Macaca fascicularis: one gene and its partners. The protein of the gene in region 1 binds, or shares a complex with, the protein of each later gene. Links are inferred from orthologs where the notes say so. Each region holds a gene or a part of one and is shown in the gene's direction. Other genes may lie near its edges. The genes, in order: SFN, RELA, NOTCH4, SIRT3, YAP1, ANPEP and MAPT.

Region 1 (3,014 bases):
ATTGCTGCCCCATAAAACAGAATGGTATGTGTCACTGCCACCTCCCTTTCTCAGTCCTCTCTCTCCCCAGGTTGCTAGCGTCCCCCCTGGGGGATCAAACTGGACTGCTTCCCAGCCTCAGACAGAGAGCAGTCTGAGTCAGGCAGGAAAGTGGGACAGCCGGGGAGCTGGACCCCACCCTCTGTGAACCCCACTGGTACCTGATGGCATGTGGCTTGGAGAGGGCAAGTGACCTGGTGTGGAGGGCCAGAGGGTAAATCCTCAAACAAGTGGCAACAGGCCACCAACTTGAAAGGGAAAATTGTGTAGTGATGGGAAATGTGTCCAACAAACCTACTGGGTGACTAATTACAAAGGCTGGGCTGGAGCGTCAGAGGCTGCTTGTTAAACACTTCATTAAGTGGCACTCTGAAAGCTGCCACCTGCGCATTCTGGGAGCTCAGAGGGGACCCTGAGGGGGAGTGAGGCCTGAGGGATGGAACCATCTTCAGGTAGATTGAGAAAGAGCCTGGATCTCACTTCCAAACACAGCCTGGAGCTCATAGGTCAGAGACTTCAACGGGAGAAAAGCTAAAGGAAGCAGGGTGCAGAAAGGAGTTTCAGGGAAGTGGTGGCTATGTGACTTTGAGCAAATCTCACCCCTCTCTGAGACTTAGTGTTCCCATCTCTGTGGTCCTGTGTGTGTCACAGAGACACAGTGGGGATTAAATTCGATGGTGAATATGAAAGTGCTTGGGAAACTCTATGGCCCTACCTAAACATAAGTTATCCTCACCTGAATCAAGGGGAGAAGTTACCTGGCAGGATTGGGAACCCCATCCTCCTGAACCTTTATGGGCTCTGTCGAGGCAGAAGCAGCCAGGGGCTAAAGCCGCCCTTAGCCTCTGTAAGGACGCTGTGAAGGAGGATCTGATTTGAGAAGCCAGGCAGTTTCCTGATGTGAGCAGCCATATGATGCCAGCCCCGAACAAGAGGGGGCAGCCTAGAGCCTGGAAAGGTGCCTGTGCAGGTGGGGCCCACGCCCAGATTTCTTCTGCTGACTGTTCTGATGACTCACCCCCACATCCCAGCCTTTTTACCTTGACTGCAGAGCCGGAAAGGGTGTGGGGAGGAGAGGAGAGGGAGGCAGGTCTTGGGCCCTGGTCCCGCCCCCTGCTCCTCCCCACCCTTCTCTGGGCCTGGCCACCCAGCCAAAAGGCAGGCCAAGAGCAGGAGAGGCACAGAGTCCGGCATTGGTCCCAGGCAGCAGTTAGCCCGCCGCCCGCCTGTGTGTCCCCAGAGCCATGGAGAGAGCCAGTCTGATCCAGAAGGCCAAGCTGGCAGAGCAGGCCGAACGTTATGAGGACATGGCAGCCTTCATGAAGGGCGCCGTGGAGAAAGGTGAGGAGCTCTCCTGCGAAGAGCGAAACCTGCTCTCAGTAGCCTACAAGAATGTGGTGGGCGGCCAGAGGGCTGCCTGGAGGGTCCTGTCCAGTATTGAGCAGAAAAGCAATGAGGAGGGCTCGGAGGAGAAGGGCCCCGAGGTGCGTGAGTACCGGGAGAAGGTGGAGACTGAGCTCCGGGGCGTGTGCGACACCGTGCTGGGCCTGCTGGACAGCCATCTCATCAAGGAGGCTGGGGACGCGGAGAGCAGGGTCTTCTACCTGAAGATGAAGGGCGACTACTACCGCTACTTGGCCGAGGTGGCCACTGGTGACGACAAGAAGCGCATCATCGACTCAGCCCGGTCAGCCTACCAGGAGGCCATGGACATCAGCAAGAAGGAGATGCCGCCCACCAATCCCATCCGCCTGGGCCTGGCCCTGAACTTTTCCGTCTTCCACTACGAGATCGCCAACAGCCCCGAGGAGGCCATCTCGCTGGCCAAGACCACTTTCGATGAGGCCATGGCTGATCTGCACACCCTCAGCGAGGACTCCTACAAAGACAGCACCCTCATCATGCAGCTGCTGCGAGACAACCTGACGCTGTGGACGGCCGACAACGCCGGGGAAGAGGGGGGCGAGGCTCCCCAGGAGCCCCAGAGCTGAGTGTTGCCCACCACCGCCCCACCCTGCCCTGCCCCCTTCAGTCCCCCACCCTGCCGAGAGGACTAATATGGGGTGGGAGGCCCCACCCTTCTCCCCCAGGCGCTGTTCTTACTCCAAACGGCTCCGTGGAGAGGGACTGGCAGAGCTGAGGCCACCTGGGGCTGGGGATCCCACTCTTCTTGCAGCTGTTGAGCGCACCTAACCACTGGTCATGACCCCAGCCCTGCTCTCCGCACCGCTTCCTCCCGACCCCAGGACCAGGCTACTTCTCCCCTCCCTCTTGCCTCACTCCTGCCCCTGCTGCCTCTGGTCGTAGGAATTGAGGAATGTCCCGCCTTGTGGCTGAGAACTGGACAGTGGCAGGGGCCGGAGATGGGTGTGTGTGTGTGTGCGCGCGCGCGCCAGTGCAAGACCGACATTGAAGGAAAGCATGTCTGCTGGGTGTGACCATGTTTCCTCTCAATAAAGTTCCCCTGTGACACTCCTCCTGTCTCTTTCCAGTTCTTGGCGATGGGTTGGGAGTGGAACTGGAATCTGATTTAGAGATCCTGACTTTCGACCTCTGAGTTAGGGCCCTGACCTCCCTGGGTGGCTCAGTGACCTGCACGCAAGACTTTGAGTCCAGGTGAGGCCGGGGTCCGGCTGTCTCCATCAGGGCGGCCCCAGTCAAACTGGATGGGACCGGGAGGGTCAGGTGAACCCACAGGAGGCGCCGAGCCTCCTCTGCAGGGCCGAGGGGAGGTGAGTGGGAGCCGCAGCGCGGGAGGCTGACGAGCTCAGGTGGAGCGGGACAGGAAATAGTGAAGTCTCCGGCATGAGATCTAAGGACAGCGCTGCAGTAGTGAGCGGCACTGAGCACCCGATTTACAGGCGGGTCACAGTCTCATCAAGGGCTCAGATCTCAGCGGAGGGAAGTACGATTTGAGGCAGGGGTGCAGTGCCGCCATAAAAGCCCAGATCTTAGGAGAGGGTCACGTCCCAAAG
Region 2 (4,231 bases), on another chromosome or scaffold:
GCCTGTCTCAAAAAATAAATACATACAATACAATACAATACAATGCAGAATTCTGCACGGTGGTGGTCCCTTAAGTTTTGCAATGGGTACACGGGTGTTTATGGTATTAATTTAAAAGTTATAAATATACAAGAATTTTAAGAAGAGGATCCATGCAAGGTTTAATGATAATTGTATGTCATCCATTCGCTCAACTGAAGTCGGCCTTCCCCGCCCCCTGCCAAAAGTAAACACTTTTCTAATCAGGGCCAGCCACTGGAGAAACTGAAATGAGTGGGCGGGGTGCTAACTCTATTTTCACTTTTCTCTTCCTGTTTCTTCAGAGCCTGGGAAACAAGTCAGAATTTCCAATCTTTTCCAATTCCCACATGATTTCCTAATTCAAGACGAATTCAGAGAAAATAAGTCTTTCTCCATCTGGAGAAGACTCCGCCCCCTGGAGCATCCTCCTTCGGGGATGAGGCCTGAGGTGGGGCTGCGCCAGCCCCAGCCCCCACAAGGACGCGCCTTGGGCTTGGTCTTGGGGGAGCTACCCGCACTGTGGGGTCACATGACAGAATTAGTGGTCAGCCCTAGCTGGAGGTCCAGGGCAAACACAGGCGGGGGCAGTGGGGTTGGGGGTTGTGGCCCTGCTGATTCGAGTGTCCCCTGTGGGTTCCGGACCTTCTGAGATACAAGCGCCAGGCTTCAGAGACGAAGCTCCGGGGTTTACCCCTGGGGACCCCCTGCTCCTGCAGCCGCTGAGGGCCGGCAGTTTGGCTGCATAGTAAGCTGGCGCTTTAGCTGGAGAGGGACGAGCTCTCGGCCAGCTCGCCAGCGGGAGGGCCTCAAGTTGTCCCATCCGGGCTGCAGGCTCCGCAAAGCTCCCTGATGCACTGTCAGAGGGGGAGGTCCGGCCGCTCCCCTTCCCCTACAGCCGCATCTAGAGTGGGGTAGGTTGGACATTTTAACGTGCTTCTGAGACAGTCACCACCGAAAGGCACCTTTAGCGATGAGGAAACCGGCGTGGAGTTCAACCACCCGGCCTCTGCGGAGCAGAAGGCCCGACTGGGCCTTTCCCTGCGCGGGGCGGGCGGCCGCAGCCCCGTAGCCCGGGCTTTGCTCCAGACCCGGCCCAGAGTGACATCACCAAACTCCGCCGATCGGTGGGAGGGGGCCCTGAAATCCCCTAAAAACAAAGTGAGTAATCGGCGGACCCGCCCTCCAGGCGGGGCCGGGACCCGGGAGCTAGCCGAACCACCGGGCACACCAGCCTCTTCGTCCCCGGCGACGCGCGCACTTGGCCCCGGCCCCCGGCAGCGGCTGTGCGCGCGGCCTCTTCGTCCTCCGCGCGGCGCGCACTTGCTCCCGGCCCCTTCGCCGGGCGGCGGCGGGGCAGCGCGCAGGCGCGGCCGGATTCCGGGCAGTGACGCGACGGCGGGCGCGCGCGGCGCATTTCCGCCTCTGGCGAATGGCTCGGCTGTAGTGCACGCCGCGGGCCCAGCTGCGACCCCGGCCCCGCCCCCGGGACCCCGGCCATGGACGGTGAGGTCGCCCTCTGACCCCGCGGGGTGGCCGCGCCGGGACCGCCCCGGCTGTGGCGGGAGGCCCCGCGCCGCTTTCCGCCCCTTCCTGCGCCGACTGGCGCTGCGCAGGGAGCGGTCGGCCTGCCGGATGGTGGCGCGGGGCGGGGCAGGCGGGGAGGGGTCTGACTCAGTTTCCCCTCTGGGTGGAGGGGGGCCCTTGACTCAGCATCCTCCCTGGGTGGGGGAGCAGAGGGAGCCTTGACTCAGTTTCCCTCCACACCGTCCATGGGGGCAGCTCTGGCTTCGTTTCCCTATTAGGGGAGAACGCATCTGATTCAGTTTCCTCTCTGGATGGAGGTGGGGCGTGCCCTCCCTCAGTTTTCCTTATGAAAGTACAACAGGCCCTGATTCGGCTTCCCTCGGGAGAAGGATTCCTTACCCCGTTTTCCCTCAAGAAGCAGGTGTTTCTGGTTCCTTTCCTCCACTCCTTAGTTTCACCGCAGGTTCTAGGAAGCAGGTCCTTACTCAGTTCCCCTGGGAGGGAGCCTGGCTTCTCTTCTCTGTGGAGAGCAGATACTCCCTTGTGAGGATGGGCAGTGGGTGTGTGCTGACCCTGATCTCCCTCCCCTTTCAGAACTGTTCCCCCTCATCTTCCCGGCAGGTAAGTGGCCCCCGCAGCGGTCCGGGAGGTGTTCCCTGGGGTAGGGCAGCGGGGGCAGCTGTCTAATGGGCCTGCGGTGTCCCCTGGCAGAGCCAGCCCAGGCCTCTGGCCCTTATGTGGAGATCATTGAGCAGCCCAAGCAGCGGGGCATGCGCTTCCGCTACAAGTGCGAGGGGCGCTCCGCGGGCAGCATCCCAGGCGAGAGGAGCACAGATACCACCAAGACCCACCCCACCATCAAGGTCAGCACTGCACCAGGGTGTGCGGGGAAGGGACTGTGGAACCCCAGCCCTCTGTGTCTGGGAGTCAGGTTTGGATGTCTGGGCCTCTGTACTTTGGACAGATCAATGGCTACACAGGACCAGGGACAGTACGCATCTCCCTAGTCACCAAGGACCCTCCTCACCGGCCTCACCCCCACGAGCTTGTAGGAAAGGACTGCCGGGATGGCTTCTATGAGGCTGAGCTCTGCCCGGACCGCTGCATCCACAGGTGAGCTCCCTGCAGGCTAGGAGGCCCAGCATGAGGGAACAGGAGGCGGGCTATGAAGTAGCCGCTACAGTGTTACTCCTTTCTGGACACAGGGCAGAGTTGCTTACTTCTTGCTCTGACTCAGCTCTGCAAGTAAACTCTCTTTGTCTTGAAATGATCTATTTGTACCTCTACTCTAGCACAGATAAGAGCTCCAAGGGATATGGATGGGTCCCTAATCACTTCTGAATCCCTGACCCCTGTAGCTGGAAGGACAAGTCCCTTGGAGTCATGTCTCTTGTTTGAGAAAGAAAACCACTGAACCAACACTCTCCCCTGGAGGTGACATTGCAGTTGACAGAAACAGGCCTTAAAAAAATATACAGGCCAGGCATAGTGGCTCATGCTTATAATTCTAGCACTTCCGGAGGCCAAGGCAGGAAGATCTCTTGAGCCTGGGAGTTCAAGACTAACCAAGGCAACATAGTGAGACCCTATCTCTACAAAAAAATAAGAAATTAGCTGGGTATGGTGACTTGTGCCTATAGTCCCAGCTACTTGGGAGGCTGATGTGGGAGGATCACCTGAGCCCAGGAGGTCACCGCTATGGCAAGCTATGATTACACCACGACACTTGGGTAGCAGAGCGACACCTTGTCGTGTTTTTTTTTTTTTTTTTGAGACGGAGTCTTGCTCTGTCCCCAGGCTGGAGTGCAGTGGCGCAATCTCAGCTCCCTGCAACCTCTATCTGCCGGGTTTAGACCACTGTCCTGCCTCAGCTTCCCAAGTAGCTGGGACTACAGGTGCCCGCCACCACGCCCAGCTAATTTTTTTGCGTTTTTTTTTTTAGTAGAGAAGGGGTTTCACCATGTTAGTCAGGATGTTCTCAATCTCCTGACCTCATGATCTGCCTGTCTCAGCCTCCCAAAGTGCTGGGATTACAGGTGTGAGCCACCGCACCCGGCCCAACACCCTGTCTCTTAAAAATAAATAAATACACAGATAAATAAACAAGGTGCTGTCAGAGTAACAATTTCAGTCCTGAAAATAAAACAAAGTCATAGGATAGAAGGATAACCTGGGGTGGGGGAGTTACGGGAGCTGGTGTGATGACTTTAGATTGGAAGGTCAGGGAAGGCCTCCCTCCTTGAATGGTGAGAAGGAGGAGAGAAGTAGGAAAAGAACATTCCAAGCCGACCAAACAAGTGCAGAGGCCTTGAGGTGGGAATGAGTGTCCTGTGTTTAGAGAATGGAAAAGAAGCGCCTGTGGTTGTAAGCAGGGAGCCCACGGGGAGGCTGGCAGGGGCGGGGGCACGGAGGTGCTTGTCAGCTGAGGGAAGGGACAGGGTTCATTGCAGCACAGTAGGAAGCCACTGGAGGGGGTCAAGCATGGAGCGATGGTCTGGGGGTGGGTGGGGGAGGAAGGAGCAGACTGGGCAAGGCAGGAAGGTCCGGGCTGTGTGAGAGACAGTGGGACAGATGGCTGGGGGTGCTCAGTTTCCAGAACCTGGGAATCCAGTGTGTGAAGAAGCGGGACCTGGAGCAGGCTATCACTCAGCGCATCCAGACGAACAACAATCCCTTCCAAGGTGAG
Region 3 (4,202 bases), on another chromosome or scaffold:
AAGGAAACTGAAAGGACTTGACAACTAAATGCAATGCAGGATGCCAAATGAGATCCTGGACCAAGGGAAAAAATTGTCATGAAGGACATTATGGGGCAATGGGCAAGACCTGAATTTGGACCGTCAATTAGTATCACATCAGTCTAAGTTTCCTGATTTGGATAATTGTACTGTATTATGTAAAAGAATGTTTTGTTCTTAGAAAATTCGCACTGATGGATTTAAGGGTAAAGGGGTATCTTGTATGCAACTTACTCTCAAATGGTTCAGAAAAAAATACAAATGTGTATTTATAGAGAAATAATGATAAAGTAAATGTGGTCAAATGATGTTAGTGGATGAATCTGAGTGAAGGGTATCCTGGAATTCTTTTTAGTATTCTTGCCCGTTTCCCATGAGATTTAAAGTATTTCAAAATAAAAAACTAAAAAAAAGGAAGAAAGCGGTGTGAAGTATGTTCCCTGGTAGGGGAAAGTTCTCAGGTACACCAGCGGCAACCATGAGTGCCTCAACACCAGGGAGAGCACAGCTGCCAGTGACACCTTCTGCCACCCTGGACTCTCAGTTCCCTGTGCTACTAGAGGAACTCGGTGTGTGGTTGACCCCAAAGTTGTCCTGGGTTGACTCAAGAAAATAGGATGAGCATTTGGAGGCAAAGAATTCGCTTTTGTGATTTTATTTACTCCAGTTTTGCATTCTGACTGGCATTCCCTACATCCCAAGGACGTCTGCAGTGGAGGGAGGCAGAGATGGAGGAAGTGAAAACTACCCAAATTCAGTGATAAGTTACAGATAATCCAGACTGCAAAATTTAGGGTACACTATGTTCATTTATCACTGATAACGACAGTCTTAACATTCCCCTATACAGGAAGACCAAGATTTCCCCAAACCAGCCAGCATCTTGCCCGTTCCCCAGAAGGAGAAAAATAAGTCCTGGCAAGAGCCAAGATAAGGCCCAGAAGCCCCCTGGGTTCCTTTTGCCAAGGTGAGTGGTTTCAAACTATGACAAGTTGCGGGTTCTCTGATAAGCATCTGTAATAACCTAGCAAATTAAGCATCCTCTCCTGGGAAGGGGAATACAGAACTCTCTAACCACCCAATACCTGTTTCCAGATCCTGCCCCTCCTGGGGCACAGGGGCAGCCACCTTGCAATTCTCATCCCTAGAAAGGAGAGACCAGATCAACAAACAGCAGGGCTGGGACTGCCCCGGGGGTTCCGAGAGTCCTTCTCCCCTCCTATCACCTGCCCTCCAGGCACACTGTCCTACTTCCCCCTACTTCCCCAGGGGTTGTCAGGGACAGAAGGCCCCTCCTTCATCCCCCCTAGTGTTCCTCCACTCTTCCCCCGCCCCCCATTACTAGGGTGTCCAGGACATTGTGTGACTCAGGAAACAGCTCAGACGTGAGGCTTGCAGCAGGCCGAGGAGGAGGAAGAGGGGCAGTGGGAGCAGAGGAGGTGGCTCCTACCTCAGTGAGGGCTCTGAGGGTCCCCGCCTGAAGAGGGACAGGGACCTGGGCTTGGAGAAGGGGCTCTGGAATGCAGCCCCCTTCACTGCTGCTGCTGCTGCTGCTGTTATGTGTCTCAGTGGTCATAACCAGAGGTGAGGCATGGCGTGGGTGAGGTGGGGGACCCATTTCCCATAGGAGGATGTCCAGTGGGGTGGGGGAAGAGGGCCAAGCCCCAGGTTGTGTGAGGGACGCTGGGTGGAAGAGATTCTCACTGCCCAAGTAGAGACGGCCTGCAGGGAAAAACGGCTGTGCCCGTGGACCTGCTTTGGGCCTGGTGCCAGGGGTAGTGACTGCCGGGGGATGGGTGAGAGGGTGCCCACCTCCAGGAAGAACCTCATCAGCATTAGCACTGGAGGACTCTTGCAGCCATAGGGAAGAGGGGAAGAGGGAACACACTGACCACCTGCTTGGGGAAGAGATGAGAGGGAAGCAGGAGATAAGGACATGAAAGGTCAGGCCTACTAAGTCCCTTTCTGAGTCCAGCTGTCCCCACCCCCCGGATGGCTTAATGCTGGGCCTTTCCGGGAGGAAATCTCTTCGAAGTCTCAGCCATTCACCTCCCGGGAGCCACCTCCGCCCCCCCTTCTGACCCCTGTTGTCTTGCTTCCGAGAGATGGAGTCCGAGGCCGGACTCAGGAGGCCAGAGAATAAACAGGAAAGGGGGGTGGGGATTAGTAACTGGGATGGAGGGCACTGGGGCTGGGGCTGGGTACCATGTGGAGAGTGGGGACAGGTGTGAAGAAGAGGTGGTTTAGAGCACCTGTGGGAGCTGCTGCGGGCAGGTCTCTCAGGAGCACCCGGAAGAGGAAAGGTGGAGGCACAGCACCTAGGGCTTCCATCGCGCTTGCCTCTCCACCCTCAGGGCTGCTGTGTGGGACTTTCCCAGAACCCTGTGCCAATGGAGGCACCTGCCTGAGCCTGTCTCTGGGACAAGGGACCTGCCAGTGAGTGTGCCTTGCAGGAGTGGGAGACTGGAGAGAAAGGGGGAGGGAGAGGGCGGGGGGAGAGGTGAGGAAGTGAGACCAAAGAAGAAAGGGAGGAAGTGAAGGAGATGAAGGGAAACGAATGAAGGCAGAGGAGGGAGGTGGGCGAGAATGGGAAGAGGGACCAGTGATGTGAGTTTTCCTCTCCTCCCCTGCCCAGGTGTGCCCCTGGCTTCCTGGGTGAGACGTGCCAGTTTCCTGACCCCTGCCAGAATGCCCAGCTCTGCCAGAATGGAGGCAGCTGCCAAGCCCTGCTTCCCGCTCCCCTAGGGCCCCCCAGCTCTCCCTCTCCACTGGCACCCAGCTTCTCGTGCACTTGCCTCCCTGGCTTCACTGGCGAGAGATGCCAAGCCCAGCTTGAAGATCCTTGTCCTCCCTCCTTCTGTTCCAAAAGGGGCCACTGCCACATCCAGGCCTCAGGCCGCCCACAGTGCTCCTGCATGCCTGGATGGACAGGTAAGCGCTGCTGGGGGCAGCCAGGAGGGGACAGGCAGGAGCAATGGGCTAGGCTGTGGGTGGGGAAAATGGAACTGGAGCCTGAGAAACTGCAAGCCCTTTGAAGACAAGCCATGAGAATCAACATGCCAATTCTCCACGACCCACATTCACCAGCAGGGTTGTACTGATAGCTAAAATGTTAAAATATTTCCAAATTAAGGGTGCCATGAGCCCCCTTTGTGCACCATCCTGATGCCTATCCTAGCCCCCTTAATCTCCCTGCTGCCTAGCAGCTAGAGGGTCATTGCTCGGCATACCAGGGGTCTTCCAGGCTTTTGCATTCTGAGCATCTGAATGGCTCCCATTCTGAGTGGAGGGAGCCATAATATCACCTGGGAAGACTGCAGTGGTGGGAGAGGCACCGGGAAGGGAGGGATGTGACCCAGAGAGAGGAGTGGGGCCACCCCAGGAGGAGGAGTGTAACCCTGGGGCAAGTTTAGTGCTTCAGACTAGGGGCTCTGCGACAGCCCCTGGATCCAAATGCCAGCTCTGCCACTGACCAGCTACATGACCTCGTATAAGATATTTTAGCTTTCTGGTGTTCAGTTGTCAGCTGACAAACAGGGAGAGTAATGGTCACACTTCATAAGGTTGCTGAGAGGACACAAGGGGCCGATGCTCAGGAAGTGCTTGCTCAGCTCAGCACCTGGCACCTCCACGGCGGCCGCCATTACCACTGGTGCGCATGGACTGTGAAGTGAGTCTCCAGGTGCCTAAACCCACTTAAAGATGAGGAAACCAGGATCAGAAAGGCAAAGTGGCTCACCCAAGGGTATACAACCAGTTGTGGCACAGCAAGGTGCCACCTGAGTCTCCTGTCTGCAGACGTGGGGTGCTTTTCACCTCCCCCCAGATCACCCATGTGCCAGATTTTCTCAGGCAAGGACAATTTCCAATACTCTCATCATCACTTTAGAAGATATGGTCGCTCCAGATAAACCCTCCCAAACCATGGCAACACTGAGATCAGGGGTGATGGAACAGAGCAAAGAGAGTATGGTAATAAAGCGAAGGAAATATGAAAATGAGACCCAGAGATAATCCAGAGTGAGCACTGGGTAACCTCAGATGGGCTAGAATTCACACAGTGCTAGAAACGGCTCCCTCTGTCCTCTGCCTCAGGTGAGCAGTGCCAGCTTCGGGACTTCTGCTCAGCCAACCCATGTGTTAATGGAGGGGTGTGTCTGGCCACGTACCCCCAGATCCAG
Region 4 (3,500 bases), on another chromosome or scaffold:
GAAGTGAAATGAAAATGGCCTTTTTCCTTATTATAAGTACCATGTGCGTCTTTGAAAAGATTCATACAGGGCCGGACACAGGGGCTCACGCCTGTAATCCCAGCACTTTGGGAGGCCGAGGCGGGCGGATCACGAGGTCAGGAGATCGAGACTATCCTGGCTAACACGGTGAAACTCCGTCTCTACTAAAAAAAAAAAAGATACAAAACATTAGCCGGGCGTGGTAGTGGGCGCCTGTAGTCCCAGCTACTTGGGAGGCTGTGGCAGGAGAATGGTGTGGACCAGGGAGGTGGAGCTTGCAGTGAGCTGAGATCGCGCCACCGCACTCCAGCCTGGGTGACAGAGAAAGACTCCGTCTCAAAAAAAAAAAAACAAAAAAAAAGAAAGAAAATATTCATACATTATATAAAGATATAAAGCAAAGAATCAACTTTTTAATCCCACCAACTGTTAGCATTTTATTCTGTGTCCTCTCAGGTTTCTTTTTCTGTACAAATGCACACGTACAGATGGTAATTTTTAACTAAAAGTTGGACAGCACTGTACATTCTATTCTGCAGCCTGCTGTTTTCATGTAACAATGTGAGTCCATGGAGATCTGCTGCCTTGTTAATGCTGACAGTTTCCCTTATACGGATATGAGGTCCCACCTGAGAGGCCCATGTCTGTAAACACGGTGCCATCGTGAACTGAACGAGCTGGTGTCACGCATGGACTCTGTCTCATGTGCTTTGTGGACGAAATATTAATGTGTTTGACTATGGAGTACCACTCCGGATCCCCTTTAGGTGTGACATAGTATGTGGGGTGTAAACCATATGATCTTTTTTAAAATCTCAAAAATTCTGAAACATATTCAGCCACAAGAGCTTTAACATAGATTTTGTGGATTTAATACAAAGTTTATGTAAGCAATTTCTTACTGATGGACAATGACAATAAATTGTATATAATTTTTGTATTAAAAGTAATGCTGGGCCAGGCACTGTGGCTCACACCTGTTATCCCAGCACTTTGGGAGGCCAAGGCAGTAAGATTGCCTGAAGCTAGGCATTTGAGACCAGCCTGGGCAGTATAGTCAGACCTCATCTCTACAAAAAATAAAAAGATAGCCAGGTGCGGTCTGTGTAGTTGCAGCTATTTGAGAGGCTGAGGCAGGAGGATTGCTTGAGCCCAGGAGTTTGAGGTTATAGTGAACTATGATCATGCCACTGCATTCCAGCCTGGGCAACAGAATGAGATCCCACGCTGTAGCAAATATCCCTGTGTGTCACCCTGACCTACCCATGCAAGTGCTCCTGAAGGGTAAGTGCTGATAAATATTGAGAACTTGCCTTCCAGAAAGATGTAACAATTACATTGCCACAAACTGTGTTTTTGTGTAGCCATTTTCTCACATCCTCACCAAAACCAAAATCACACAAATCAAATTGGTTAAAAAATGCATGTGTGTGTGTGGAGGGGGGTGTGGATTTTGCATTTCTGTAGTAAAGAATGAAATTCATCTTTTCATGTTTATTGGCCAGTTGTGTTTCCTCTCTTTGGATTGTATATTTATATCTCTTGTCCATTTTTCATTGGGTCATTGTAAATTAGCAATATAAATTAGTTTTAATTTTAATAGAAATTAAATAATATAAATCAATTTTAAGGTTAATATAAATTTCTTTTCTTTTTGTTTTGAGACAGAGTTACGCTCTGTCTCCCAGGCTGGAGTGCAGTGGCACGATCTCGGCTCACTGCAACCTCCACCTCGCAGGCTCAAGCCATTCTCCTGCCTCAGCCTCCCGAGTAGCTGGGACTACAGGTGCCTGCCACCACGCCCAGCTAATTTTTGTGTTTTTAGTAGAGACGGGGTTTCACCATGTTGGCCAGGCTGGTCTTGAACTCCTGACATCAGGTGATCCACCTGCCTTGTCCTCCCAAAGTGCTGGGATTATAGGCATGAACCACTGTGCCTGGCTATTAATAGAAATGTCATTATAAATTAGTTCATACATTATATGTTTATAAATGAGTTTATCAATTAGCAATATAAACTATTGTCATATGTTGTAAATATTTTTGCAGTTTATGAGAGGTTTTTAAAAATTTTTAATTTTCTACATAGTAGTTTTATGTAGATACTGATGTAATAGTATTTACATAGTCAGATCTGTCATTTTCCTTTGCCTTATCTGACTTCAGTTTTCACATCTAAAATGTTTTTCCCTATCCTTACTTGTAAACTCTCAGTTTTCTTCAAGAACTGTTTTGTTTACATTGAAACCTTTAATCCATTTGAATTTTTTTCAATGGGAGGTAGGAATGGAGCATTTTCCTCCCAGATAATGAGCCAGTTTTAATGCCATTTATTAATGTGTCCATTTTTTACCTTGTTCCTCTTAAAAGACGCTTTGAGAGTTGTATGAAGAAGCCTGATGGCACCGAGCTAGGCCTCTCTAGAGGCTGGGTGGTGAAGACCATGGAGAGACGTAACAGTAACTCCTGCTTGGGGGCACCAGCTTGTCTGGGTGCCCGATGCTGGTGGTGGCTGTCACTGCAAGCAGGGCTAGCCAGAGGAGATGGACGAGTCTGTGCTGTCGTCCCTCTGTGGCATGCGGAGACAGCGAGCTGGGGAGGACAGGGAGAACAGAACGTGCTCACAAAGAGGAGGTAGGAAGGTTGGATCCCTGGTGAGCCTTGGAACGGAGGTGGGGAGAAGCAAGGATGTGTGGAAGCAGCAAGGAGTGGAAGAGAGGGAGGCTGAGGGGAGGAAAGAGAGTCACTGAGGCCAAGCGGCAGGAGCTCAACTGAAGAAATGAGATTGGTGGTGGGTTTTCTGTGTATCGCCGGGTCTGACTGCCAGTCTGCTGCTCCTCCAAGGCCTCAGTGGCTATGGCACGAAACATCCTGCGGGGCTTGTAGGGTGGACACTGTACCCTCACATTTGGGCCATTTTTCAGGTGGAGCCTTTTGCCAGCTTGACCGAGGCCGTGCGGAGCTCTGTTCCCCGACTGCTCATCAACCGGGACTTGGTGGGACCCTTGGCATGGCGTCCTCGCGGCAGGGACGTGGCCCAGCTGGGGGACGTGGTTCACAGCGTGGAAAGGCTAGTGGAGCTTCTGGGCTGGACAGAAGAGATGCGGGACCTCGTCCGGCGGGAAACTGGGAAGGTACAGACGCTGAGGAGGACCATCCAAGGGGCTGCCCTCCTCACTGCTCTAGGGTGTGCTCCATCTGGTATGGAGCCCCACTGGCTAACACGGTAACAGTCGTAACCGATGATGCTGTGAATCCTGCACCAGGCGCTACCTGGACCTGATTGGGTATTACTTTCAATAACTCCATTTAGAGATGAAGAAACAGATGGTAACAGGCCAAGCAGGGACACGGTCCAGACACTCAGGGCTGATGAGTCTGTACTCTTAACAGACTGTAGGCGTTATCTTCACTCCCTAAAGTAAAGCAGCCAACAGTGTTCCTCTAAGGCCTGGTATGTGATTCTGAGATGATACGGG
Region 5 (4,184 bases), on another chromosome or scaffold:
CTTATTCAGTCCACATTAACGGAGTCCACCCTTGGGCCAGGCACAGGGATAGCAGGGGTAGGCACCCAGCTCCCTGAGGATGAAAGGCAGGTACAGAGGAATGAATGCTTGTACCTGAAGAAGCACTGATTTTTTTGGGTTGAGGCTTCCAGTGACTATGTTGCAAACTCGAGTACTAAAACAGTTGATGTGATTTCACTATTTAGAAAATGTAGTGTTTTTGTTTCTTTTACTAAGTTACACTGACTCACAGACCTGGTCTCAAAGCTTCAATTACAGTAACCGTTTACCCTTTCAAGTGAGTTTTCGCACACTAACAGATAAGTGAAACAGAATTACAAAATAAAGTTAATGCTGAAAACAATGGACCTTTATTAACATCAGCGCCGGCTCACCGTATCTATTTTAACTCCCATCTATCCTGGCGGCTTTAAGCCCGCACTGGCGCTCCGCTCGGTCAAGCCGGGGTAACGCGGGGAGGAGGAGGTGGGTTCGCACATCCTCTCTCCACTTCTTTCGGCCTTCGTCCTTTCGCAAGTCCAGGCGAGCTGGAAGCGCCTTTCCCGAGCACGGGCCGGGAAAAGGAGCCGAGCGGGGCGGAAGGACTTTCTGGGGCCAAGGGCGGCCGCGTTCTCCGCAGAGACCACACTTCGGCCTCGGAATGGACCCAGCGTTTGTGGTTCGCGGCGTAGAACACGGGGCACGCTCCGGGCCCCTGCCGGGCTGAGCGCGGGCGAAGGGCGGACCGGACCAGGGCGAGCGGGTCACGTGCGACCGGGAGAGGCGCGGAGGGCTGGGAGTGTGCAGGAATGTAGCAACTTGCAGCGAAAAGTTTCCCTGCGCTGCCGGCCGGGCCGCGGTGCGGGCGGGCGCGCAGAGGAAGGAAGAGCCGAGAGGAGGCGGGGCCGCGGCGGCGCGGGCGGGCGCTTCTCACAACTTTAGTTTTGGCGTCTGAGGCGAGTTTCTGTCTCAGTCGGGCGCAGCCGCCGCCAGGGAAAAGAAAGGGAGGAAGGAAGGAACAAGAAAAGGAAATAAAAGAGAAAGGGGGAGGAGGGGAAAGGCAACGAGCTGTCCGGCCTCCGTCAAGGGAGTTGGAGGGAAAAAGTTCTCAGGCGCCGCAGGTCCGAGTCCCTCGCAGCCCCTCCCGAGGCGCAGCCGCCAGACCAGTGGAGCCGGGGCGCAGGGCGGGGGCGGAGGCGCCGGGGCGGGGGATGCGGGGCCGCGGCGCAGCCCCCCGGCCCTGAGAGCGAGGAGAGCGTCGCTCCCGCCGCCCAGCACCGCCCGGCCCGCAGCCGTCGCCGCTTCTCCACCTCGGCCTGTGGAGCCGGGGCGTCCGGGCGGAGCCCTCGCCCGCCTGGTTTAGGGGGTGCGCGTCGGGGGAGGCAGAAGCCATGGATCCCGGGCAGCAGCCGCCGCCTCAACCGGCCCCCCAGGGCCAAGGGCAGCCGCCTGCGCAGCCCCCCCAGGGGCAGGGCCCGCCGTCCGGACCCGGGCAGCCAGCACCCGCGGCGACCCAGGCGGCGCCGCAGGCACCCCCCGCCGGGCATCAGATCGTGCACGTCCGCGGGGACTCGGAGACCGACCTGGAGGCGCTCTTCAACGCCGTCATGAACCCCAAGACGGCTAACGTGCCCCAGACCGTGCCTATGAGGCTCCGGAAGCTGCCCGACTCCTTCTTCAAGCCGCCGGAGCCCAAATCCCACTCCCGACAGGTAACCTTGTCGCCCCTCTCCCCGCTTCCCCGTCGGGCGGGCCTCAGACCGGGGGGGCGCTCGGGAGCCGCGGCCGCCAGCTCTGGCCAGGGGAGGGGGTTGCGGGAGCTCTAGCTGGGGTGGGGGTCCCGCGGCGAAGTGGAGGAACTGGAGTCGTCCGCTCGGCCGCGGTGACCAGCTCCCCACTCCTCCCAGAGTCCGGGGCTGAGATTTGTTTTTCCTTTCGGAGTTTCTTTCTGCGGTTGCGGCCCCGGGGGGCGTGCTTTCCCTCCTTCCTTTCTTTCTTCCCGGGGTTCCCGGGAGGTTGGCGGGAGTGGAGGAGGGGTGGGGAGGAAGGAAGGGGGTGGGGGAGAGCCGAGCCTGGGCCGCGGTGGGCTTGCACAATGCGCGCGCCTCCGCGCGCTCCGCACCTTCGCTCCCGCCGGGGCCGGGCCGGGAAAGGGGGAGGGGGGCCTCTGGCATTTGTGTGTGGGTGAGTTGCCAGCGGCGGCCGAGTTTGTGAAGTTGAGCCCTGGGCCCCTTTCCTTTGCGGCCTCTCGGTCCACTTCAGTCTCCTGGGGGAGTCAAATAATTGTTCTCTTGTTTTCCAGTGTTGATTAGAGGTGGGGGTAGAACCGGTCCATTTAGTTTTTTGCTCTTTCTTTCCCTCCCCCCTACCCATTTCCCCTCCCCCTCTGCCTCCCCCTCCCGTAAGCATTTATTTTCCTCGCGGCTTAGGCGATTTCTGAATACAGGTTTCGGGCTTCCCCTGCCCAGACTTTCCTGGAAGTTGTTTATGGAGTTCTTTCACCCCTGCGCTTCCCTTGTGTCTTGGAACTTGGGTCGGCTCGCTCTTATCAAACTTAGTAGGTTGCGTGTTGGTTTCCCGATCGTAGGCTATTATTTACAGTCGGCTGAAAAGCTTTTGAATTAGCCACATCTGTACGTTGCGCAGGAACTGAGTTGCGCTTTACAGTACCGAGGTTTTAACACAAGCCTTTGATAATACACTGCGGGTTGACTCATAGGCCAAGTCCTGCCTAGTTCAACTGTGATTAAAAGTTAATGTTTGGGAAGCGATGACTAATTCTAGGATCGCCATTGCTTTTTAATTCTTATTGCGGATATGAACATGGCTGCTTTTCCACATACACAACGTTCGATTATTTTGCCAGCTTGATTCAGCATAGAAGTGAAACTATTTATAATGAGAGTGTTAACATTCCGATAGGTCCCAGTGGTTTTGTTTAGTGTAGGGTTCTCTCTTTTTCCTTCTTTTCTTTTTTCTTCTTTTTTTTTTTTTTAAAGAACTTGCTTCAGGCTAAACTTCAGCATAGGAACTTTGCCCAAAAGTTAATAGGTTTTCCAAATACTGCAATGTAGTTAGCCTACTCGGGCTGTAACTTGAGTGGAAAGAAGAGTTACCGCCCCCACTCCCATCCTCTGTCCTATTTGCGGGCCTGTTGTATATTCTTCTGTCAGAGACCACAGGGTTTTGGAACTCAGAAAAACTCACTTAACCTGATGACAAAAACCCGGGTTAAGGAGGAGGAAGGAAGGAAAAACAATTTAGCTGCTTGCCTAAACAGTTCAATTTGTCAGAAATAGACTTAGGTATGCTTTTTTTCTTACCCCTGGAAGTTGGTTTATGGACTCATTGTAAGTAAATGTGTGTTGGCATGCACCCTGCAGACTACACGGTATTTTTTCAAAGTATACTACACATAGATTGGATCCCCCATTTTGTGACAAAGAGTCACAACTGGAAAGTGTACTTTTTCTTCTAGTAGGTAATTTTTACAAGAATTTATATCCAGCAGTTCTAAAATTCATAAACTATTACAGTTTTGCTTTTAATAAGTTTTTAACTAAGTGTTGCTCATCTGTAAATTGGACTTTTATTTCTGCTAGTGATTTTCTAAATCATACTTATTCTGATGGGACACTCAGAAAGGTCTATCACTTTAAGGCATTAATGACTCTACTGAGTCCTTCCGGTTTCCTTACCTTTGTGAATCTAGGAAATTCTAACTTTTTGATAATCAAACTCTTAATTCTAATTAGACACATTTTAAAAACTATGCAAGATTGTGAATAGTAGAATGTAGGTTGTGAATACTATTGTTCACAACACAAACTGGTGACTATAAGTTGTTTTATATACATCCATTTTTCTGTCTTGAAAACTATGTTACAAACGAGAAAACAGGCATATGGAAGTTAACATACTTGTTCAGTGTCACACTAGCCAGCTTAGACTGGAACTCAGATCTTTGGGGTCTGAATGCAGAATTTTTTCTGCTTGTATAGAGTTGTGAATGTCTGTGAGTTCTTAAGTTATAATTGGACTGATAACCTCATTATCTTCTACATACAAATATATAGTTGAGTTTTTTTCATCTTGTTCATTGTAGATGGCTTTTAAGAACATTTGGGCAGTTCAAATTTGTTGCTTTCATTAAAAATTGTGTAATTTGTTATGATTTCTTTATT
Region 6 (4,133 bases), on another chromosome or scaffold:
CCACATAAATGATGAGAATGGCTTTGACAAGTGCATCTTGCGATGGGGGAATGTGAGTAAATTGGATGTGGAATGAGGTCAGGCGGTGTCGAGGTCTGAGAAACTGGGCTGGTGGATGGGGAAAGTGACAATGAACATAATTTTCCTGTAAGGTGTGTATTTTATTGAGTATGGTAAGCAATATCTTCATTTCTACCAAGGATAGAAAGAGGCAATCATTGAGCTTTGGGTAAAAAAGAAGGGAATGATTTTTTTTTTTTCTTTTGAGTCGGAGTCTCGCTCTGTTACCCAGGCTGGAGTGCAGTGGTGCGATCTCAGCTCACTGCAACCTCTGCCTCCTGGATTCAAGCAATTCTCTGCCTCGGCCTCCTGAGTAGCTAGGAATACAGGCGCTTGCCACCACGCCCAGCTAATTTTTTTGTATTTTTAGTAGAGATGGGGTTTCACCATGTTGGCCAGCCTGGTCTTGAACTCCTAACCTCGTGATCCACCCACCTCAGCCTCCCAAAGTGCTGGGATTACAGGCATGAGCCACCGCGCCCAGCCGGGAATGATTTTTAATCATTATACTATTTGGTGTTTAATGTGTTTTCTCATTAAATCTGTTCAACAAACCTGAGAGGCAAATACTGTTATTTATTTATGAGGAGAGAGGTTCAGAAGGGTAAAGTTACCTGCTCAAGGTCACAGCTGGAAAGAGATGAAGCCTTCAGCAAAAAAGCAAAACAACTCAATTCATTTTATTCCGTGAGCTGATAATGGAGGAAAAAGTATTTGGCAAGAAGGGGCAGGGAGGGGAACCTGGAGGAACTCCGTGCTCTTGAAGAATGAAAGGGAGGCTGGGACCTTGTCACTGAGGAGCTCCTGGCATCCTTCCAGAGATACAACCAAAGGGGTGACCCCAGTGTGTTCTTAATAGGAGCCAGGAACCCTTCTCTGTGCACCTCCCATCTCTCGCCTCTGGGAAGTCCTTTCCTGACTCTAACCTCAGTTCTGATGCTGTTCCCACCCTCTCAGCTCTCAAGCAGATCAATGCAATGCCACCTGGCCACTTGCTCTGCCTGCTGGGCCCTTAGCCGGCAGCCTGCCCTTCAGCCCTCAGGCCTGATCCCAGGCTGCCTGCAGCCTGTAACCAGACACTGTTTGCTTCCAGCAGGCACCCCCAAGCCCAGCTCTACACACTGTTCCTGGATCTTCTCTCCCCAGGCAGAGTGTGCCCCTGCCCAGTCCAGTGACCTTCGCCTGTTGGAGCCCTGGTTAATTTTTGCCCAGTCTGCCTGTTGTGGGGCTCCTCCCCTTCAGGGATATAAGCCCAGCCTGGGGCTGCTCCGTTCTCCGCCTGGCCTGAGGCTCCCTGAGCCGCCTCCCCACCATCACCATGGCCAAGGGCTTCTACATTTCCAAGTCCCTGGGCATCCTGGGGATCCTCCTGGGCGTGGCGGCCGTGTGCACGATCATCGCACTGTCAGTGGTGTACTCCCAGGAGAAGAACAAGAATGCCAAGAGCTCCCTCGAGGCCTCCACCACCCCGTCTGCCTCAGCCACCACCAGCAACCCCACCTTGGCCACCACTTTGGACCAAAGCATACTGTGGAACCGTTACCGCCTCCCCAACACGCTGAAACCCGATTCCTACCAGGTGACGCTGAGGCCGTACCTCACCCCCGATGACAGGGGCCTATACATTTTTAAGGGCTCCAGTACCGTCCGTTTCACCTGCAAGGAGGCCACCGACGTCATCATCATCCACAGCAAGAAGCTCAACTACACCCTCAGCCAGGGGCACAGGGTGGTCCTGCGTGGAGTGGGAGGCTCCCAGCCCCCCGACATCGACAGAACCGAGCTGGTGGAGCCCACTGAGTACCTGGTGGTGCACCTCAGGGGCTCCCTGGTGAAGGACAGCCAATATGAGATGGACAGTGAGTTTGAGGGGGAGTTGGCAGATGACCTGAAGGGCTTCTACCGCAGCGAGTACATGGAGGGCGATGTCAAAAAGTGAGTGTCGGCTGGGCTACCCGGTGGGGTGGATCCGAGGTGCCGAGGCAAGGCTGGATTCTGAGGGCCAAGGAAGGACTTAACTTGCAGGCCTTTGAACCCTGTGGAGCCCGAGGCTGGCCCATTGCTTCACCTCCAGCTGCTGGCAGAGCAGCTGCCAACACACCAAACTGGGAGGGCTTCCCCACCCCTCACCAGGAAGCTGGGGATGAGGGACGGAATGTCCCTTGGACAGGCAGGAAAACTGAGGCTCAGAGGAGAGAAACTCACCAGAGGTCCCTGAGAGCCTGCTGGCACCCCAAATCCAGAAGGAGCCCCAACCCCCACCAGTCAGCTGGCTTGGCAGGGCTCTGGAGGCTCCCAGGGGAGGCGGGAGCGGGAGCAGGAGAAGGGGTTAGGCTGGGGCAGCCTTCCATGTACCCCTTTCCCTGCATGACTGGTAGCATCCTCAGATCCCCTCCCATACCCTCAGCCCTGGCATACCCTCTAACTTTTTGGTTGGGGCAGGGTGGTGGCCACAACACAGATGGAGGCCCCAGATGCCCGGAAGTCCTTCCCATGCTTTGATGAACCGGCCATGAAGGCCGAGTTCAACATCACGCTTATCCACCCCAAGGACCTCACAGCCCTGTCCAACATGCTTCCCAAAGGTGAGTGGGCCCTGCCTGAGGCCACACGGCCAGGGGGCAGGCACGCTGGGGCTGGGGTATGGGGCAGGAGGGTGCATCCTCACACACGCATGCTCTGTGCCCAGGTCCCAGCACCCCACTTCCAGAAGACCCCAACTGGAGTGTCACCGAGTTCCACACCACGCCCAAGATGTCCACGTACTTGCTGGCCTTCATTGTCAGCGAGTTCACCTACGTGGAGACGCAGGCATCCAATGATGTCTTGGTATGAGGCTGGGCCCATCTCTCCTTCACCTGGGCTGGCCCTGGCTTGAGGGGTCTTCCTGTTCTCTTCATCCCTGTACCAATTTCTGAATCGTTAGGCCAGGGTTTGAATCCCAGCTCTGAGTGATTTCGGGCAAGTGTCTTGTTCTTTGGTTCTCTATTTCTGCACCTGAAAAGTGAAAACAATGGTTTCTCCTCATGAAGGGAGTTCTGACCCGCCAGTACCAGACAGACGGTGGCTATGATAATTGGTATTCTCCAAAGGCCCTTCTCTAGGACCCACAGCTTCCAGGCCCCCCTAGTGTTCCTTCTGCTGACCAGGTCTCTAGGTTTAGCTTGATTGACCCCCAGCCCTGGCCCATCGGGGATCCCCCTGGCCCACTGGGCCCTGGGACCCAGCCCACCTGCCCCAGGATCAAACAGGGGCCCCTGGCCTGCTTCTTCCTCACACCTTGCAGATCCGGATCTGGGCCCGGCCCAGTGCCATTGCGGCGGGTCACGGCGATTATGCTCTGAACGTGACAGGCCCCATCCTTAACTTCTTTGCCAGTCATTATGACACACCCTACCCACTCCCAAAATCAGGTGAGTGGGGGTCCTCGAGGAGGGAGGCAGTGGTTGGAATTCCACTCCCGGAGGCCATCCTGCCAATGGCCTCGCCTCCCCAGACCAGATTGGCCTGCCTGACTTCAACGCCGGCGCCATGGAGAACTGGGGACTGGTGACCTACCGGGAGAACTCCCTGCTGTTCGACCCGCTGTCCTCCTCCAGCAGCAACAAGGAGCGGGTGGTCACTGTGATTGCTCACGAGCTGGCCCACCAGGTAGACCCCCATCTCGGGGAGTGCAGAGAAGGAAACGGGGGCTCCAGGAGGAGATGGTGCAGGTCCAGGCTCCGCCCCAGGCTGCTGAGAAGGGAGGAGGGTGCCGCCTGACAGGGCAGCAGGAAGGGGTCACGATGGGGTTGGTGAAATCCCCACTGTGCCTGGCAGGTGGCCAGCCCTGGGGAGGGTAGTTCTGGGGACTCTCAGTGCCTGGCCTGGGCGTGGCTTGCCCAGCTGACCCCTCCCCCCACAGTGGTTCGGGAACCTGGTGACCATGGAGTGGTGGAATGACCTGTGGCTGAACGAGGGCTTTGCCTCCTACGTGGAGTACCTGGGTGCTGACTATGCAGAGCCCACCTGGAACTTGGTGAGCAGCTGCCCTGGGGTCCAGTCGGGGGGTGTGGAGGGAGACCTGGGCCACC
Region 7 (4,246 bases), on another chromosome or scaffold:
TTCAAGGTTGCCATGAGCTATGACTGTGCCACTGCACTCCAGCCTGAGCAAGACCTTGTCTCCAAAAAAAGGTCAATTCCATTGACTTTTCTAAGGTGTACACCATCAAGGGGCAGTTCCATCCCCAGGCCATTGGCTCATGAGACATTCTGAAGTCAGAAGGCTAGGGCAGATCGCTTTCAGCAAGCCCCCACGGTGGTTCTCACTCCTACTTCTTTGGATATATGCCCCTCTGTTTAAAAATAAAGTTAATATGGATAAAAAAAAAAAGAAAGAAAGAAAAAGGTCAGTTCCAGAAACTCAGTGTGAATAAAGCATTTTACTTGCTTTTTCTATTAATCTATAACATATGTTGGTTTTTAAAAAATAATGTAAGAACCATGCAAATTGGAGCTTCAAGACAACTTCCCATCTCCCTAGGAGGAGACGGCTGCCCTAAACCCCCATACATAGAAATCCGCCCACTGCCAGGGCTTAAATTTGACGTTGGGGAAATGAAAAATCCAAGCTAAGGCCGAAGCTTGGGGCCTGGGTGACCAGTAGAATGAGGACCACTGGTCAGTTTCAGGCTGAGATGCCTCTTCCAGGGGACAATCTCCAGCTGGCCCTTAAACATTCAGACTTCAAACTCTACTTACAGCATAAAGATGTTTCAAAAGACGTGATACAAATAACTGTGTGTGCAAATGTTCTGCGATGTGTTAAGCACTATTTCAATTTGGTCTAATTTAAGATTTCTTTTCTAGCGTCACGGTTACATACATCATAGATCCAAATACTTTTTTTTAAAGTACAGTTCTACTGTATTGTAACTGAGTTAGCTTGCTTTAAGTGAATTTGTTAAGGAAAGGATTCACCTTGGTCAGTAACAAAAAAGATGGGAAAAAAGCAAGGAGAAAGGAAGCAGCCTGGGGAAAAGCGACCTTAGCCAGGGGGGCGATTTCGGGACTCGGAGGGTCGGGGTGGGCGGACTGGGGAGCTGGCCACGTGGAAGGTCGCTCAGGACCTCTCCAGGAGAGGACACCGCCTCAGGCTGACTGAAAGGAAAGGGGCAGGGGACCCACTGGCGGAGTCACTGGCCTTGCCCCGACCCCGCAGGGCCCGAAGGAAGACACCCACCCCTCCAACGAGACAAAGGCTCCAGCTATGGGAGGCGGAGAGTGCGCGTGCGCCATGGAACGCGCGTGCGCGCTGCGGTCAGCGCCGCGGCCTGAGGCGTAGGGGGAGGGGCACCGGGAAAGGGCAGCGCCGAGAGGAACCAGCCGGGAGGCGCCGGACAGCCGAGCGGCAGGGCGCTCGCGCGCGCCCACTGGTGGCCGGAGGAGAAGGCTCCCGCGGAGGCCGGGCTGCCCGCCCCCTCCCCTGGGGAGGCTCGCGCTCCCGCTGCTCGCGCCTGCGCCGCCTGCCGGCCTCGGGAACGCGCCCTCTTCGCCGGCGCGCGCCCTCGCAGTCACCGCCACCCACCAGCTCCGGCACCAACAGCAGCGCCGCTGCCACCGCCCACCTTCTGCCGCCGCCACCACAGCCACCTTCTCCTCCTCCGCTGTCCTCTCCCGTCCTCGCCTCTGTCGACTATCAGGTAAGCGCCGCGGCTCCGAAATCTGCCTCGCCGTCCGCCCCTGTGCACCCCTGCGCCGCCGCCCCTCGCCCTCAGCCTCCACAGACTGGGGCTTCGTGCGCCGGGCATCGGTCGGGGCGACCGCAGGGCCCCTCCTTGCCTCCCCTGCTCGGGGGCTGGGGCCAGGGCGGCCTGGAAAGGGACGTGAGCAAGGGATGCACGCACGCCTGAGTGCGCGCGTGTGTGTGTGCTGGAGGGTCTTCACCCGCTTCGCGCCGACCCCAGGTGGAGGCCGTGCCGGCAGGGTGGGGCGCGGCGGCGGTGACTTGGGGGAGGGGGCTGCCCTTCACTCTCGACCGCAGTCTTTTGCCGCAATGGGCGTGCGTGGGGGGGAGGGGTCCGATAACGACCCCCGAAACCGAACCTGAAATCCGCTGTCCCTGCCGCTGTTCGCCATCAGCCCTAAGGAAGATGTGGATCGGGTTCTAGAAAAGATGACTGACTCCCTGCACGCCCCTCCCTTTACCTCCCGAGCAGTGATTCCGACAGGGCCTTCACTGCCCCTGATTTTAGGCGGGGGCCGGCCCCCTCCCCTTTTCCTCCTTCAGAAACCCGTAGGGGACATTTGGGGGCTGGGAGGAATCGAGGAGATGGGGAGGGGTCCAGGCGCTGTCACTTTAGTTGCCCTTCCCCCTGCGCACGCCTGGCACAGAGACGCGAGCAGCGCCGTGCCTGAGAACAGTGCGAGGATCCCAGTGTGCACGCTCGCAAAGGCAGGGGTCACCTGGCCTGGCGATGTGGACGGAGTCGGCGGCCGCCGGTCCCCGCTCGCGGGCAGGCACAGCAGCAGCCATGCACTGACGGGCGCGGGGCTGCAGGTGCATCTCGGGGCGGGTTTCTTTCTCAGCGCTCCGCGCGCAGGGTGCCCGGCGTGTGCGCTCCCTGCCGGAGGCGCGGGGCTGGCGCGCAGGGCTCGCCCCTCACTGCGGCAGTGGGTGTGGATCCTGGTGGGCGAGGAGGGGGGAGGATAGGCTGTGCCTCCTCCCACTCCCGAGGTGCCATCTTTTTTCGGCGTGTCACGTCTTTACGGTGCCATGCCAAACCGGGTGGCCGGGCTTCGTAGGACAGGGCGGGGCCTGGCATTAAAGGGAGGGGGACAATCAGCGCTGAAATCTTGGCGTTTTGCTGCTGCGGGCGTGAGCGCTGGGGGCGTTCACCCAGCACCTTCTTCGGGGGCTCTTTGCTTTGTCTGTAGAGGTTACGTGATCTGCGCTCCCAGCCCTGGTTTCTGGCTTTTATTCTGAGGGTGTTTAGCCAACCTCCCCCCACCCCCAAGCACCTCTTTCCTTTTTCGTTCCTCATTTCCGAGCCCATTGTTGGATCTCGAGGCTTGCTGGGGTCGACGAACCCGAGTCAACCCCCCGACCCCCGGCACGCATGGAACGGGCGTGACCGCGCGCAGCCTCGTCTCGGAGTCTGCGGGCGCCAGGAAGCTTCTGAAGGGATGGGATTCGAGTCTCCGTGCTGCGCTGCGGGCGGCGGCAGAGGGATCACGCCCCTCCCAACACCCCGAGTGTCCTGAGGGCCAAGCCACACCAGGTTGCCCAACGAGGGACGCTGGCTACCCATTCGGGGATGGGTGGGGAGCCCCGGTGGGGCCTCTCCAGCTTTACGCCCTGTTGCTTCGCCTGGCGGGAGAATGTGAGGAGGGGGCATAAGGTTACTGGTGCTGCGGCCACACCCATTTTTCTGAGCCCACTGGAGGGGGCACAGAGGGGGAATTGCCATGGGAACCACAGGCGTCCGGAGAGGGGACCTTGGGGCTGGCCCCACCCCTTCCCTGGGGAGATTGGGGACCCTGGGGTAGGCGGGGCCGCGCCCAGTTGGCCTCCTGGAGGACACGGGAGGAAGCCCCCAACCCCTGCACCTGAGACTCTAATTGGCCTCTGGCGGCCGCAGATAGGCAGCCCTTGGGTGTATTTTTATTAATATTATGTCTGTACTGATTAATATTATTTATCGTAAATGCGGGATTTCACCCGTATCCAAGTTCACCGTACCCCCAAAACCGAGTCTGGGGCTGCAAGGAGAACTCCTGGCCAAGGCATCCGAGCCTCGCCCTCCTGTGATGAACCTGGTACGCGCCGTTTTCTGGTTAATTCTATCGCTGAAAACTGGTGCGGGGGGGCGCACTTCTGAGACGAACGAGCATCTAGGAGCTGAATCCTCCACGCGGGCTGCCCAGGTTGATCTGAATTTCCGGGGAATGGCTTGACTGGGGAACTAGAGCCCGCCCGGGACCAGGCTGACCTTCCTCGACGGTGGCGTCGAGGGCTGGAGCCTGAGTGCTGCGAGGCTTCCCGCATGGCTGAGCCACCGCGAGGGGTTGCAGAGCGGCTCAGGGGTCAGTTCAAGCATCTTCTCTCCTCCCTCGCCCCCAGACAGAGCTGGGCGCGGGATTCCGGTTCCAGATGGAGTGAGGGTCTCGGGACGGCCCTGGAAAAGGGGAGCCCACGGTCAAGGCTGCCTATTGCCATCTCGAGCAGAGATGTCACCTGCTGCCGTTGGAGGAAAGGGAGCCCGGTGGGGATGAGCGCATTTAGCCCAATGCTGGGAACAAAGCACAATCCGCGCTTCTGCGATTTCGCTCCATTTTGAAATGTGTTGGCGCTTTGGTTGGGCCACTGC

What was found.
Region 2: the proteins of SFN (region 1) and RELA are in contact, whole or in part, in a crystal structure (PDB 7O6I), measured with the Homo sapiens proteins. The link is inferred for Macaca fascicularis from reciprocal best matches to the Homo sapiens genes SFN and RELA. Residues at the interface, in NP_006133.1 of Homo sapiens: Glu14, Tyr19, Leu43, Ser45, Val46, Lys49, Asn50, Gly53, Gly54, Arg56, Lys122, Arg129, Tyr130, Gly171, Leu174, Asn175, Val178, Glu182, Ile219, Leu222, Asn226, Leu229, Trp230; in NP_068810.3 of Homo sapiens: Ala43, Gly44, Ser45, Ile46, Pro47, Gly48, Arg50, Ser51.
Region 3: the proteins of SFN (region 1) and NOTCH4 are in contact, whole or in part, in a crystal structure (PDB 7OR3), measured with the Homo sapiens proteins. The link is inferred for Macaca fascicularis from reciprocal best matches to the Homo sapiens genes SFN and NOTCH4. Residues at the interface, in NP_006133.1 of Homo sapiens: Lys49, Arg56, Arg60, Lys122, Arg129, Tyr130, Glu133, Gly171, Leu174, Asn175, Val178, Glu182, Leu218, Gln221, Leu222, Asp225, Asn226, Leu229, Trp230; in NP_004548.3 of Homo sapiens: Arg1914, Arg1915, Phe1916, Ser1917, Ala1918, Gly1919, Arg1921.
Region 4: the proteins of SFN (region 1) and SIRT3 are in contact, whole or in part, in a crystal structure (PDB 8ANC), measured with the Homo sapiens proteins. The link is inferred for Macaca fascicularis from reciprocal best matches to the Homo sapiens genes SFN and SIRT3. Residues at the interface, in NP_006133.1 of Homo sapiens: Asn42, Ser45, Val46, Lys49, Arg56, Lys122, Asp126, Arg129, Tyr130, Pro167, Gly171, Leu174, Asn175, Val178, Tyr181, Glu182, Leu218, Ile219, Leu222, Asn226, Leu229, Trp230; in NP_036371.1 of Homo sapiens: Arg99, Arg100, Ser101, Ile102, Ser103, Phe104, Ser105, Val106, Gly107.
Region 5: the proteins of SFN (region 1) and YAP1 are in contact, whole or in part, in a crystal structure (PDB 6G6X), measured with the Homo sapiens proteins. The link is inferred for Macaca fascicularis from reciprocal best matches to the Homo sapiens genes SFN and YAP1. Residues at the interface, in NP_006133.1 of Homo sapiens: Lys11, Glu14, Cys38, Glu39, Asn42, Leu43, Val46, Lys49, Arg56, Lys122, Arg129, Tyr130, Gly171, Leu174, Asn175, Val178, Glu182, Leu218, Leu222, Asp225, Asn226, Leu229, Trp230; in NP_001123617.1 of Homo sapiens: Ala125, His126, Ser127, Ser128, Ala130, Ser131, Leu132, Gln133.
Region 6: the proteins of SFN (region 1) and ANPEP are in contact, whole or in part, in a crystal structure (PDB 7AEW), measured with the Homo sapiens proteins. The link is inferred for Macaca fascicularis from reciprocal best matches to the Homo sapiens genes SFN and ANPEP. Residues at the interface, in NP_006133.1 of Homo sapiens: Asn42, Ser45, Val46, Lys49, Arg56, Lys122, Arg129, Tyr130, Gly171, Leu174, Asn175, Val178, Glu182, Leu222, Asn226, Leu229, Trp230; in NP_001141.2 of Homo sapiens: Ala60, Ser61, Ala62, Thr63, Thr64, Leu65, Asp66.
Region 7: the proteins of SFN (region 1) and MAPT are in contact, whole or in part, in a crystal structure (PDB 4FL5), measured with the Homo sapiens proteins. The link is inferred for Macaca fascicularis from reciprocal best matches to the Homo sapiens genes SFN and MAPT. Residues at the interface, in NP_006133.1 of Homo sapiens: Asn42, Ser45, Val46, Lys49, Arg56, Arg60, Phe119, Lys122, Arg129, Tyr130, Glu133, Gly171, Leu174, Asn175, Val178, Tyr181, Glu182, Ile183, Ile219, Leu222, Asn226, Leu229, Trp230; in NP_058519.3 of Homo sapiens: Arg528, Thr529, Pro530, Ser531, Leu532, Pro533, Thr534, Pro535.

The regions. Positions count from the first base shown.
Region 1 is NC_088375.1:208,247,659-208,250,672, reverse strand, and holds SFN (14-3-3 protein sigma), read left to right. Parts: upstream 1-1,219; 5' UTR 1,220-1,283; coding exon 1,284-2,030; 3' UTR 2,031-2,514; downstream 2,515-3,014. UniProt on the Homo sapiens protein: Adapter protein implicated in the regulation of a large spectrum of both general and specialized signaling pathways. Binds to a large number of partners, usually by recognition of a phosphoserine or phosphothreonine motif.
Region 2 is NC_088388.1:8,704,989-8,709,219, forward strand, and holds the start of RELA (transcription factor p65), read left to right. Parts: upstream 1-1,431; 5' UTR 1,432-1,517; coding exon 1,518-1,524; intron 1,525-1,997; exon of another isoform or gene 1,998-2,139; coding exon 2,140-2,166; intron 2,167-2,256; coding exon 2,257-2,408; intron 2,409-2,509; coding exon 2,510-2,658; intron 2,659-4,134; coding exon 4,135-4,226; intron 4,227-4,231. UniProt on the Homo sapiens protein: NF-kappa-B is a pleiotropic transcription factor present in almost all cell types and is the endpoint of a series of signal transduction events that are initiated by a vast array of stimuli related to many biological processes such as inflammation, immunity, differentiation, cell growth, tumorigenesis and apoptosis.
Region 3 is NC_088378.1:139,487,097-139,491,298, forward strand, and holds the start of NOTCH4 (neurogenic locus notch homolog protein 4), read left to right. Parts: upstream 1-1,402; 5' UTR 1,403-1,541; coding exon 1,542-1,605; intron 1,606-2,375; coding exon 2,376-2,457; intron 2,458-2,656; coding exon 2,657-2,952; intron 2,953-4,116; coding exon 4,117-4,202. UniProt on the Homo sapiens protein: Functions as a receptor for membrane-bound ligands Jagged1, Jagged2 and Delta1 to regulate cell-fate determination.
Region 4 is NC_088388.1:100,355-103,854, reverse strand, and holds part of SIRT3 (NAD-dependent protein deacetylase sirtuin-3, mitochondrial), read left to right. Parts: intron 1-2,945; coding exon 2,946-3,155; exon of another isoform or gene 3,156-3,500.
Region 5 is NC_088388.1:101,116,948-101,121,131, forward strand, and holds the start of YAP1 (transcriptional coactivator YAP1), read left to right. Parts: upstream 1-1,391; coding exon 1,392-1,712; intron 1,713-2,090; exon of another isoform or gene 2,091-2,557; intron 2,558-4,184. Other genes in the region: uncharacterized protein, read right to left, coding at 458-1,107, 1,165-1,393. UniProt on the Homo sapiens protein: Transcriptional regulator with dual roles as a coactivator and corepressor. Critical downstream regulatory target in the Hippo signaling pathway, crucial for organ size control and tumor suppression by restricting proliferation and promoting apoptosis.
Region 6 is NC_088381.1:74,267,736-74,271,868, reverse strand, and holds the start of ANPEP (aminopeptidase N), read left to right. Parts: upstream 1-1,333; 5' UTR 1,334-1,378; coding exon 1,379-1,995; intron 1,996-2,502; coding exon 2,503-2,645; intron 2,646-2,749; coding exon 2,750-2,889; intron 2,890-3,346; coding exon 3,347-3,473; intron 3,474-3,556; coding exon 3,557-3,711; intron 3,712-3,964; coding exon 3,965-4,078; intron 4,079-4,133. UniProt on the Homo sapiens protein: Broad specificity aminopeptidase which plays a role in the final digestion of peptides generated from hydrolysis of proteins by gastric and pancreatic proteases.
Region 7 is NC_088390.1:67,473,562-67,477,807, forward strand, and holds the start of MAPT (microtubule-associated protein tau), read left to right. Parts: upstream 1-1,446; 5' UTR 1,447-1,579; exon of another isoform or gene 1,580-2,020; intron 2,021-2,266; exon of another isoform or gene 2,267-2,522; intron 2,523-3,032; exon of another isoform or gene 3,033-3,157; intron 3,158-4,246. UniProt on the Homo sapiens protein: Promotes microtubule assembly and stability, and might be involved in the establishment and maintenance of neuronal polarity.